3 linked regions of the Cricetulus griseus genome follow. The protein of the gene in region 2 interacts with the protein of the main gene of each other region in a pairwise test. Links are inferred from orthologs where the notes say so. Each region holds a gene or a part of one and is shown on either strand. Other genes may lie near its edges.

Region 1 (3,986 bases), on a different chromosome or scaffold from region 2:
GGATGATAGGGAAACATCTGGTTTTGAGATAATTTAAAAGACTTACATGTAATCTGCCTCGAAGCTCTCGGTCGTTTCTCATCTTCACATAAATTCGCTCATCCAAACTGAGCCTGATGAGATCCAGGGGCTCCTCTACGGTATTGGTAGTCTGTTGCTGATGAAGGAAACACACTTAGTAATGGACCACCAGAGGCAGAGTGGTGTTTCAATCACTGTTAAGCAGTGAAACCAAGGGCTAGTCACATAACCCGTTTATACCTTAGTCTAATTTGCCAAATGCAGAAAATAGTGTCTCCCCAATACTATTATTTTAAATGACATATGAAAGCTTAGAACGGTGCCTCGATGCTATGTAAAAGAGGAGAAAAACATTATGTGGAGAGGAGTTAAGTAGCAAAATGATGACTGAACTTCCAAAAAATCCAAAGTGTTAGAGTACCACTTAGGAACCTTAGCTTTATCTTTTGTATAATTCAATCATTTGAAAAACATACCTGCAATACCTATTCACACACTACTAAAAAGATCTGACAGAATTTGAAGTCAGTACAGCGCAGGTTAAGTTTAGGGTGCTAATTGGCTGGCAAGATGAACCTACCTACCGAGTAGTATAGTATAGAAGTTAAAAGAACTGAGTCATTAGGAAGCCTTTGTTCAATTCTGGGTTCTGACCTGGCTCTTCTGAACTGGGATTAAAAATCATGCCATTTCTTGTTTCAGACTCCTCATTTGCAAACTGGGGAGACCACATCTTTGCCTCAGAGATCTTATAAGGACTAAAGGGTCTATCTGAAGTAAAAAGGAAACACTTCTAAATAATTACCTTTTTTTTTTTTTTTAAGAGGCATGCCCATGACAGCCTTTGATGAGCAGCAAGTCTTTGCCTCTCAGATGCTGGGATTGGGCAGGTATGAACCGAGTCTGGAACTTTTAAGAGTGTGTGTGTGTGTGTGTGTGTGTGTGTGTGTGTGTGTGTGTGTGTGTGATGGGGTTCAAGTAGCTGTCAGAAGACAACTTTATAAAGTTCTCTCCTTCCTCTGTGTGTCCCAGGAATTGAACTCAGGTTGTCACGCTTACAAACTGCAAGCATTTTTACCTGTTATCTTACCAGCCCCACTCCCAGCACCTGTAATTTCTTATATTTAATATAATCTCTTGCTTGCTTCAAGATTTAAGAATGCATTCTTGGTCAGTCATTTCAGAGGAATGATAAATCAGAATTACTCTTCAAGAACTGTTGGAACAGGTTTCAAAGGTTAGAACTGGGATGACCTGGATTCAGCTATATGAAAGAGGTGGTTCCAGCCATCAAGAATTAGTAAGACCATTCAGCAAGCTTCTCCAGTGAGTACCTGGGGTCAGTGAAAGCTGAAAATTGTAGGCTGTGTAGATATGAGGCTGATGACAGGAAACAAACAACCCTCCCAGAACACCCCCAACCCCGGATCTCAACTGGTGCTTTCCTCCTCCCACCTTAGCTCAGCAGGCTTTTGTTAAGAAATCAGACAACCAACCACTGGATTACAACAATACAGAAGCCGCATCCCCTCAATGGAGCTCACTCTAGTATGGAGAGGGGCATATAAATACATAGCTGCAAAACAATGAAATCTGTTCCCACGACAGCCCTCTTCAGTCTAGGATGGCCACTGTCAATCCTTTTCACCCTGTAAGCTTTACATTCTGCCTTTTCAAAGAAGCTGCCCCTGAACATTGGGTTCGTTCCCTCAACTAATAACCTGCTGAGTGCTAACAGCACTGTCCTAAACCTAGGAAAGAAAAGCAAACACAGAAAACCCCCCTTTATTTTAAAGGTTTACTTTTATCGTGTATGTGAGCAGTTTGCCTGTATGCATGTGCACCACACGCTGACACAGTGCTCGGTAGCAGAGGCCAGAAGGGGGCAGAGGATCCCCTCCTGCAACTGGAGTTAAGATGCGTTGGGGTGCTGTTAAGCCAACATGTGGGTGCTGGATCCCAACCATGGTCTTCTACAAAAGCAACAAGTGCTCTTAACTCCTAAAGCAACCTCTCCAGCCACCCCCGCCCCAATGCCCCTATTAAGTAACTTACGTTCTAGTTATGGAAGAAATGTCTCAGATAAAGAAATACATATTTAAAATAACATGCTCTGTTATTTTAAATACCCGTGTGTGGGTGCGTGTGCGTGTGAGGGAGTGCAATCATTTCGGAACTCCACAGGTAGCTAAGGAATAGGGGGAAGAGCAGGTGAAGAGGGCAGCCTGTGATCCTGTGTGCACCCGATCTTGGCTTGCTTTCTCCAGACTACATCTCCACCAGGTTCTCTACCTCCCTCCCTCCCTCCTACTGCACTCCAAGTGAGCCGCTGCCTGCGCACCAGGCGCTTGCACGTATTACAAAGCTGGTGTCCACCACTACCTCACGCTTTCTGTCTGGTGTCGACAGCCGTTTGCATTTTACAGATAAAAGCCGATGCCGAGCGTGATGGGCAGATAGGCGGGTTGAGAAAACTCTAGGCCTGCGGAAGTTTCAGGAGCCGGCGCGGCTACGGAAGGCCGTGGTTCCTCGGGACAAAGAGAGACGGGCCGCTTCTCAGCGAGCGTGGAAAACGCGAACCCGACCTGGAAGCGCAAGCGCTTCCTCTAAGAGCGCCTCCGGACAAACTTACCTGATCTACGTCGTCCGCCATGTTTCAAACGCTGCGCCCTTTCCACCTCTCGCGAGAACAGGCACTCAGAAACGCAAAGGGTTCCACTCTCGGGAAGTAGACCTACTTTATTTTTGTCCCTTTGCGCCCCTGTAGTTTGCAGGGGGAGGGGTTTCTCCGGAGGGCGTGGTCCCAACCTGGTCAGGGGGCGCGGCCCAGGCATGGCCCGCCTCGGGGCGGGGCGAGCACGCGGAGAGTGTCTGCGGCCGGCTGGCTGCGGTAGCCCGGAGTGTCGCTGCCGGGCAGCATGGCTCCGAAGCGCCCTGCGGGAGGAAGGCGGCGGGGGCGCGGCCGAGAAGCCGAGAACAACAAAGCAGCCCGGCCGGAGGAGAGCGAGGCGGGTGAGAGGCTGCGGCGCGCAAGGCGATGGTGGCGGAGGCTGGGGCGGGCAGCGGGGCGGAAGGTCTCCACGGCCGGATGCGCGGCGCCCCGAGGGCCTCTACCATCAGCCCTGACCCCACCGTAACCCCTAGGACCAAGTCCAGCCTCTTGGCAAGTGTTGAGGGCCGATCAGGAAAAAGCTTCCCTGTTGCCCGGTGTCAGAGAGACACCAAAACTAGGACAGAGGGAGACCTTGTAGTGTGAGAATCTCTCTCCAAGTTGCATCCACTGTAATTCCGGCCCCAGGTTTGCGATGCGCTTCTTACCTTGGTCTTGAACCAAGGAGAAGCTTAAAATATTCCCATCTCAATAAATCACTCCTTCACCCACCTGTTAAAACACGCCTTTTCTTAACTGCTAGTTCGTCAGGAGGTCCAGTTCAGCTTCGGAGTCACTGAAATATGTGCCTAATTCTCTTAATTTCATAGCTGGTATCCTGTTCCTGTCGTTTTCTAGTTGAGTGAGTTCCCCTCTACATCAGATCTCCATCCAGCAGCCAAGTGATGTAGAACGACAACAAAACTTCATATGCCTTGGTCTTCTTACTTAAAACCTTCTTAGATGTGTGCTCTCCGTGTATAGCATCTACCTCACTTAGCATGTCTCTCTTCCAGATATTCTTATTTTAAACAGCAGCCCGGCCTAGAGCTCTGGGTTTTTCCTGTCTCATCCTCATGATCACAGGGATTACAGATGGCTCTTGGTGACTGCCTTTCTCTTCTTTGAATATACTGTTTATTTATCTGGAGGCTTGGCCTTCCATGTTTCTTTGCCTTAGAATGTTCTCCGTCGCTGTTGCTGGGTCTAATTTCTTCTCTACTTGAGGTCTAAGACATTCCACGGTCATCTTAAAGTAGTCATTCCTAGGTATCCTCCACCACAGAATCACAGTGATGTTCCTATTCACCTATCA
Region 2 (4,108 bases):
CTATTTCTACACTTACTGTCTTTACACACCAGGGTGGGGATCCAAAAGTCAGACCAGCCTGATGGAGTCCTGGTGCCTTCTCACGGGCAGAGTGAGCCCAGGGTCCATAGAAGTCCACAAAGCACACACAGAGCATCTCTGCCTCCCTCTTCCCCCACTGTTCCTGTTGCCACTTCCTTCTAGGCACAATGCCTTGGGGGGGGTTCTCACTGTCTACAGTAAGCCTCCCCAAAATCTACAGAGAAGTAACTCCCTTTGAGGCAGTCCTTTGTTCAAATGTATGTCTATAAAGAACAAATATTGCACAAACCGATGTTAGTGTGGAGACCAGACATCCAGTTTTATTAATTGAAATGAGGTCACATGTGTGGTTTTGAAGCGTGGTCTCACCCTATCACCCTGGCTGGCCTGGGACTTGCTATATAGACCAGACTGGCCTCACACTTACAGAGATCTATCTACCTGCCTCTGCCTCTGCCTCCCAGGTGCTAAAATTAATGCACCACCACTTGCAGGAGTCAGCTCTCTTCCATCATGGGGGTCCTGCCACACCTCAGGCCATCAGTTTGGGTAACAAGCACCTTTTTACCTTTTCAGCCATCTCACCAGCTCCTAACAATGAGTTTTATCCACTAATTCAAGACGAAAAACCCAAATCAACCCCCCCCCCAAAAAAAAATCACCACCTAAACACACAAACAAAACCCTGCACAATCAAACTCTATAAGATACTCCCAGTGAAGATCTAATGGGGCCAAGTTGCACAGGCCTGCAATGGACTACTCAGTAAGTTCAGGCAAGAGGATCACAAGTTCAAGGCTACAAAGGCAACTCAAAGTCAACCTAAGTAACTAAGACCAAGTTTCAAAGTTAAAGTTAAAAAAAAAAAAGTTAAAGTTAAGAGCATTGTACAAATGGCTGGGCTATAGCCCTGCAGTACAGCTCTAATCTAAGTTACACAGGGTCCCAGGTTTCCTCCTCAGCACTACTCAGGTTGGAGGATGGAGTGGAGGAGTGGAGGGGTGGAGTGGGGGGCAGGGTGGGGCAGGAAAAACAAATGCAATTTGACACTCCAAACAAAATGACTCAAAAATATGACATGCAAATACAAACCAACTTCACAACTCTCTACAGAACAACTCACTGTCTCCCTTCCCACCTCCAGTTTCTTTCTCCCACAGGACTCCCCACCAGCCTTGTTATCCTTTTGTTGGCCACCCAAGTCACATTGCACCACCTTCCCAATAATAGGGCTTCGACCGCATTCACTGTAACCCATTGGTGCAGACCTGTGCTTGGTGAAAATAGTTTTGTGAAATGTTCTGCCTATGAGATAAATCAGAACTGGTAACTCGGATCACAGTGCCAGTTGTGTAAGCATGCTAGCATTCAGGACTGTTAGCCAACATTCTAAAGTCTAACCACTGTTATAGATAGCTTTCCCTTGTCTCTGTCAGTCCTGAGAAGTAAATTCTGTACTGTAGTTTGTCACAAGACTCCTGTTCAGACAACATCTACCACAGCTCTGAAATGCTCTCTGGTTCATGGTTTTGGGGGTGTAAAACATAACTTGCAGTGGTGGCGAACACCTTTAATCCCATAACTTGGGAGGCTGAGGCAGGCAGATCTCTGTGAGTTTGAGATCAGCCTGGTCTACAAAGCAGAGTTCTAGGACAGCCAGGACTGTCACACTGAGAAACCCTGTCTCGAAAAAAAAAGAAAGAAAGAAAGAAAGAAAGAAAGAAAGAAAGAAAGAAAGAAAGAGAGAAAAGAAATTTGTACAACTTCAAAATAAAAACATCCACCTACGCCAGGCATTAGTGGCACACGTCTTTAGTCCCAGCACTCAGGAAGCAGAGGCAGGTGGATCTACAGAGTTCAAGGCCAGCCTGGTCTACAGAGCAAGTTCCAGGACAGCCTCCAAAATAATACAGAGAAACCCAGTCTCAAAAAAAAAAAAAAAAAAAAAAAAAAAAAAAAAAAAAATCCACCTACACTGTCTTCACACATCGACTTTAACCTTAAAAAAAGACTAGATATATGTAAATTTAATATTGTAAAACAACAGCAAGAATTTAAGAGCCCAGAATTGCAGAATCATGGTTGCACCATCTAGTAGCGGCACCCCAATGTGAGGTTGACAAGCCGCTGGCTTTCCCAAGTGAAGACAGTCCCTAGTCCCCAACTACTCTCTAGTTTATCAAACGATGTCTCCACAGTTTTAATTCTGCTTTTATAGCCTTCATTGATTTTACAAGAGGAGGGCATGTCAATAATTTCTGCCTGAAAGTACTTCTAGAAGAGATTTCTTTTGAAAACACCAACATTCATTAAGACCCATCCGGAGGCTTCCAGAAGCGAAACAAAGTTAAATCTTATTACTAACATGGATACTACTAGATGCCTTAAAGATATTCCAGTTTTATGGTTTAGGAAAGCCCTGTTTCACCCCAAATGATAGTCATACCCCAGGCTAGGTATGAGAGGGCCTTATCCCTTGTCCTCAGGGTGTTCCCACCCTCCTCTCCAGGTCTACCAGGCCCAACCCAAAGACTTTCATCTGCAGCGTCCCTAGCTGTTTCTGCCACAAGGGACCCTCTGTTCCCTGGTCTCCAGCTACCAGGACTCCTAGGCCCAGACAGGGCACACCCCTGCTGCCCCATCTGCTGGCCCCAAGGCGGTTGGTACCTTGAGGACTATGGGCAGCCAGCTTCGTTTATTCTCATCCAAGTACACGTGCCTCTCCCAGATCCACAGGCGTTGGGGGTCTTGGGGTGTCTCTGGTCTGTACACCGGCTGTTCAGCCATGGCATCCGGCTGGAGCAAGAAGCAAAGATTTGCAAAGGCAATATCTGATAAAAACTACTCTCTGGTGGTGGGCAACGAGAACCTAGACTATTTATTACCACCAGGTGTGCGCCTGCGCCCCCTGGAGCGAGGCGAGGTGGGGCGGGGCAGGGCGGAGCCAGCGGAGTGGGTGGGGCGAACCACAAGTTTGGTAGGCAAGGCAACCAGGGGGCTTCTGGGTCTCTGGCTTGCAGGCCTGATCTTCAGGGCCCCAGTTAGTCCTGGACTCCTCCGGGTACACCGGGCAGCAGCAAAGGTACACCCAGGTCCTGTCTTAGGAGACACTGCCCTCCGCTTTCTCTATGGTGGAATCCCAAGGTCCAAGGCAGTTACTGTGTATGTGGCTGCACAGGCCACACCCCATAGCAGGCCACCCAGGGCAAGGTCAGTCTTCACTTCTGGCATCAGAGACCTGAGAGAGCATGGCTCACTTCTGGACCCTCCGGGCCTCTCTCTGTCACCTTCAGCCTGTCCTTTGGGGTGTCAGAGGCAATTTCCTTTGCAAAGTTCAGTTCGTGTGCCTTCGCTCTTTCCCACGTGACTTTTTCCATGGCTCTGATGAGGCTGTGGTCTTCTAATAGGTCTTGCAAAACAGACTTTTGAAAACAGGGGTTTCTGTCTTTGTGCTCCGACTTAGTGGACACATCATTCCAGACCCATGCTTAAAAAGAAACCCTTCCTGCACACCAAGAGTAATGGATTTGGAAAGTCTCTGGGTTGCTCAATCAAAACTGTCTCATTGTAAATAAATGAGGAAAAACGACTTCCCTTTAGTTTACGGTAACATGTGCCCATTAAGGCAATTAAGAAATTAATGAAAAACATGTAAAAACAAGTTCCAGGCCCGTTGCTCAAACAACCCTTTAGCTAGCAGCTCTGAGCCTCACCTTCTAGCCCTTTCCTCTCGGAGGATGCACAGAGGAAACCATTGGTGGTCTTTGGAAGGTCAATGAGTGATCAAGTGTGGACATCGGATCAAATCCCCCAGGTATGCCAAGAAGGCCTGCGGTCAGCCAGGTATATTCCGATTAAACAGGAAAAGAAACCAAGAAAAGGCTCAAGTCCCCCAGACCAGTGCAACTCTTAATGGTGTTAGCATTTAGTATTCAGACTGCTGGCTTTCAGGCTGATTTCCCTGTGGATGGCTCTTTATCCCCAGATCCAAATAGCTGCATAGAAATAGGAATAAGCTTGGTGGGGAAGCTCCCGGTGAGTGCAGATAATGAGCCTAGTGTAGTTATTTATTTTAATTCACTATTAT
Region 3 (4,157 bases), on a different chromosome or scaffold from region 2:
GGGCTACACAAAGAAATCTGGTGTGAGGGAGGAACTATGAGCAAAGTATTTCTTATGAAATTATGATACCTAGGAATTATTTCAAAGTCATCAATGGTGAGAAATGCCATGGAGTGGGTAAAGTAAGATCACTCTGAATTGGTAACTGGTAAAGTTGAAAGATAAGCATAGAAGATTCACTGTTGCCCCCCCCCAATATATATCGAAGTTTTCCTTAATTTCTTTTAGGCTTTGAGCACTGTTTGTTTTGATTTTGAAACAGGAATCACTATAGAATACAGCTGTCCTAGAACTCAGACTGGACTCAAACTCATGATCTTCCTAGATCAGCTCTCCATGTGCTAAAAATACAAATGTGTGCCACTACACCTGGCTATAGAACAGTTTCCAAAGATTTAAACATGAATTGACTCAACAGAGCTACTGAGTAAGTAAAAAAAAAAAAAAAAATTGTTTTGAATGGCTTTGTAAATCTACCGTGATATTCAAATGTTAAGGAAAAGAAAGGGTAGCTGATAGAATAAAAGTGAATACTGGATGTTTTCAACAGTACTTAGTGATAACTAATAAATCCAGTAATTCACTAGCTACACAGATGGGCTTTAAGATACAGGAAAATCCAAGCAGGCATGGTGCCCTATGTCTTTAATCCCAGCACTGGGGGTTGGGGGGGGGGCAGAGGCAGGCAGATCTCTGAGTTCGAGACCAGCCTGGTCTGCAATAGCTAGTTCCAGAACAGCCTCCAAAGCCACAGAGAAACCCTGTCTCGAAAAACAAAAACAAAACAAAACAAAAAGATAAATAAACATAATGTTTTTAATTGTGTATAACTATCTTGTCCATTGTGTGTCTTACATGCTGTATAATTCAGGTGTGTATAAGAGTGTATCTATTCTTAGAGTAATTGTAACCCTAAGGAGACAAGGAAAAAACCAATGAACTCAGGTCTTTTTGAAATTACCAAACAATAGGCATTAAGAAAGGGAGGAAGGAAGACAACAGTAAGTTTCTAGCAATATTCATTACTGATGCCCATGACTGAAGTGAAATGTAAGTAACAACAGGAAGAGAAAAAAATTGAGGGTGGCTAAGTTCTGATCAGAATTGAGAATATCATGGGTCACAGCCTGTTACTGAACAAGAAACACTGCAACCACCAAGCACGTAGGCTGATGCAGGTAAACCGCATGCTTTCCACAGAGCAGTGAATTGTGGGAAATCCTGGGTATATTATGGAGTATAAAATGCACTAGGGAATTAGGACAATGGAAGCTTCCTCCTTGGCCTCATTGTAATATGGGGAAATGTATTTCCTCTGTCTGAAAAATCACTTTATATCTCCCAGGGGGAGACCAGGAAATGGGAAAGAAAGAAAGAAAGAAAGAAAGAAAGAAAGAAAGAAAGAAAGAAAGAAAGGAAGAAAGGAAGAAAGGAAGAAAGAAAGAAAAAAGTAAGTATGGTTACTATGGATCACAAATCCATAGGGACACAGTGAAGACAGCCTGGGAAAATGGATGCTTGGAATGTCTTCAAAGGATACTGAGATATAAAAGGAGTGGTGGTGATGGTGGTGATGCTCTTGTATTTATGACTGTCCCTAAAGGTAATGAGAATGATGATTGTGTTTTCTGTTCTCAAATTCCCAAATGGAACTTAGTTTCTACATTACCAGTGTGGGGCACCACGCAGTGTAATAGATGTATTAATATTTAAAGAAAGCTGGTGTGTTTACTGAAAGTAATTTCACTTTAAATCACTGGTCAAATCTGTTAGGAGAAATTAGGAATGGGATGAGAATGAAAAGAATGAGACCCTCATATATATATACATAGATAGATAGATAGATAGATAGATAGATAGCAATAAGGGCTACTGAGTCATGCAATCTATATGAGGGAATTGTATAACATGCCAGTTACATCTATCTCGACTAAACTGTTTTCATCTTAAACTACGAGCTTTTTGGACCCCTAAGGTTGTGTTTACACAAACCCCCTTACAGAAGGGGTTTTTGGTAGATCTGGCCTTGGACAGTTTTCACCAGGATAAGAAACCAAACAAGTACATCACAACTGTGCAGGTTTCGTGTTAATTCGTGCCTGGTGTTAACGTCAACATATTCTACAGAACTGACGAGCGGGATTAAAATTCTAAACAATGACACCTGTGTTCTAAGTTGATTTACAATGCTCCCCCACAGCAATCGCAAGACTTGACACTTGACCCAGCCAGCCACAAGCTGGCAGGTGCTTGCGACGGAGTAAACGTCCTCTTCTACTGACTGCGTGAGAGGCTGCAGCACCGGGATGGAAAAACACCGGCTGGACGTAAAGAATCACGACGGCATCCCTCCGAGCAGGAGAGACGTATTCGAAGGTGAAGAATTAAGAGTCACGACTGACCTCAAAATGCTACCAAAGGAGAATCCATCTCCCCTTCCTAGGCCGACAATAAAAACGAGCTGACCGCCACACTCCTCAGGCCGCCGGGCCCGCATACCGAGCCCCGCCACCGTGCCTCGCGCCCGGGACAGCGGCGAACCTGCGGGCTCCGTGGACCTCACCGGGCCACCCTCGCCCCCCAATCCCGCACGCAGAACCCTCTGGCCTTGCTTGCCTCTCCTCTGCCTTCTACCGCCCACCCGCAGCCAGTTACCTGAAAGCCACTCCGTGGTCCCGTGTTTACATTCCACTTGCCCTTTGCCACAGGAAGCGGAAATGATCCCGTCGGGCTCCTAACTGGCCTTGCCTGTCTGTGCTTTTTATTTCTCTATTGAAAACTCATGAAGTCATCCGGGGACGTTCCAACAGTCCAAAAAAGTGGATAGAAAAAAAAAAAAGAAAGAAAGAAAAAGAGGGCTTTCTTATCCGCCAGACCCTTCTACGAGGCCATTGGTCCCAGAAGTCACTGCGGCGCCCAAGGTACTATGGGATTTGTAGTAGGGCTATCAGCCCGAAACAACGCCCTCTAGCAGCAGCTGGGAGTGGCGGACTCCGGATAGGAGGCTCAAATCCAGGCAGCTGTGCTTTGCCATAAGCACAGTCATCAGGTAAAAGGGATTACAGCCTAACCTAGCCGGTGAGGGAAAGTAAAACGCAGGAAAAAAAAAAAAAAAAAAGGAAAAAACTGAGCTGAAAATAAGTTCAAGGGGACCTGTGCTAATTTATGTTTGTCAACTTGGCATGAAAGACCCCTGCCCCTTAGCCCTTTCTTTCTCAAGTTTGTCTCCTCTTCCTCCTGTCGGCGGCTTCCACTTCCCCCGCCACCCGCCGCACGCCCAGCCCGAGGGTGAGCACCAGGTGGGCCGGCACGAGAACAAACACCAAGTGAGCCGGCCTGGAGCCCTGCCCCTGAGCCCCCGCCCGATGAGAAACACTCTGTCCCAAGGTCTCCGCCCCCAAGGTCAGCCATCTGGACGCGGAGGGAGGGGGAATGAAAGACCCCCAAAGAGGTACTTTCGTAGAAGGGGACCCGCACCCAGGAATCAGCGAGACCACGAGCTTGGATGCAAAACCGCAAGAGGCTTTATTGGAGATACGGGTACCCCAAGGGAAAGGGGTCCTTATATAGGGAAAAAGGCGCAAGCTAGGGGCAGGGATTCTATTGGATAATTCTAATGAGGCATTGTACAGAGCTATTCCCATTGGTCAATGTATATGAGGCGCTATACAGGGTTATTCAAATGAGGCAAAGTACAGAGTTATTCAAATGAGGTGAAACATAGAGTCTTTCAAATGAGGCGAAATACAGAATCATTTCTATTGGATGGTTCAAATGAGACACAGAGCCATTCCAGATCAGCATATTCTCAAGGTCTGGTGTCTGGTACAACAGACTCAATTCCCCCTCCCTCCGCGTCCAGATGGCTCGGATACCCGTATCTCCAATAAAGCCTCTTGCGGTTTTGCATCCAAGCTCGTGGTCTCGCTGATTCCTGGGTGCGGGTCTCCTTCTACGAAAGTACCTCTTCGGGGGTCTTTCAGGCACAAACCTAAACATAGCTAAAAGAGGGAATCTTCTTTCTTGAGAAAATGCCTCCATAAGATTGGCGTCTAGGTAAATCGGGGTATTGTCATGAGTAAGGACTGATGTGGGAGGGCCCAACCCATTATAAGTGGTACCACCTCTGGGCAAGTGGGTTCCGGTCGGCATTAGGA

Evidence for each region.
Region 1: the proteins of Tcl1a (region 2) and Lsm3 interact in binary tests that used the Homo sapiens proteins (3 or more experiments, as listed by UniProt). The two-hybrid records come from large-scale screens. The link is inferred for Cricetulus griseus from reciprocal best matches to the Homo sapiens genes TCL1A and LSM3.
Region 3: the proteins of Tcl1a (region 2) and Ttc33 interact in binary tests that used the Homo sapiens proteins (3 or more experiments, as listed by UniProt). The two-hybrid records come from large-scale screens. The link is inferred for Cricetulus griseus from reciprocal best matches to the Homo sapiens genes TCL1A and TTC33.

The regions. Positions count from the first base shown.
Region 1 is NC_048601.1:52,288,970-52,292,955, forward strand, and holds the start of Lsm3 (U6 snRNA-associated Sm-like protein LSm3), read right to left. Parts: upstream 2,804-3,986; 5' UTR 2,675-2,803; coding exon 2,654-2,674; intron 158-2,653; coding exon 47-157; intron 1-46. Other genes in the region: Xpc (DNA repair protein complementing XP-C cells), read left to right, coding at 2,940-3,033. UniProt on the Homo sapiens protein: Plays a role in pre-mRNA splicing as component of the U4/U6-U5 tri-snRNP complex that is involved in spliceosome assembly, and as component of the precatalytic spliceosome (spliceosome B complex).
Region 2 is NC_048598.1:189,486,336-189,490,443, reverse strand, and holds the start of Tcl1a (T-cell leukemia/lymphoma protein 1A), read right to left. Parts: upstream 2,809-4,108; coding exon 2,689-2,808; intron 1-2,688. UniProt on the Homo sapiens protein: Enhances the phosphorylation and activation of AKT1, AKT2 and AKT3. Promotes nuclear translocation of AKT1. Enhances cell proliferation, stabilizes mitochondrial membrane potential and promotes cell survival.
Region 3 is NC_048595.1:339,164,159-339,168,315, reverse strand, and holds the start of Ttc33 (tetratricopeptide repeat protein 33), read right to left. Parts: upstream 2,818-4,157; 5' UTR 2,656-2,817; intron 2,422-2,655; exon of another isoform or gene 2,403-2,421; intron 1-2,402.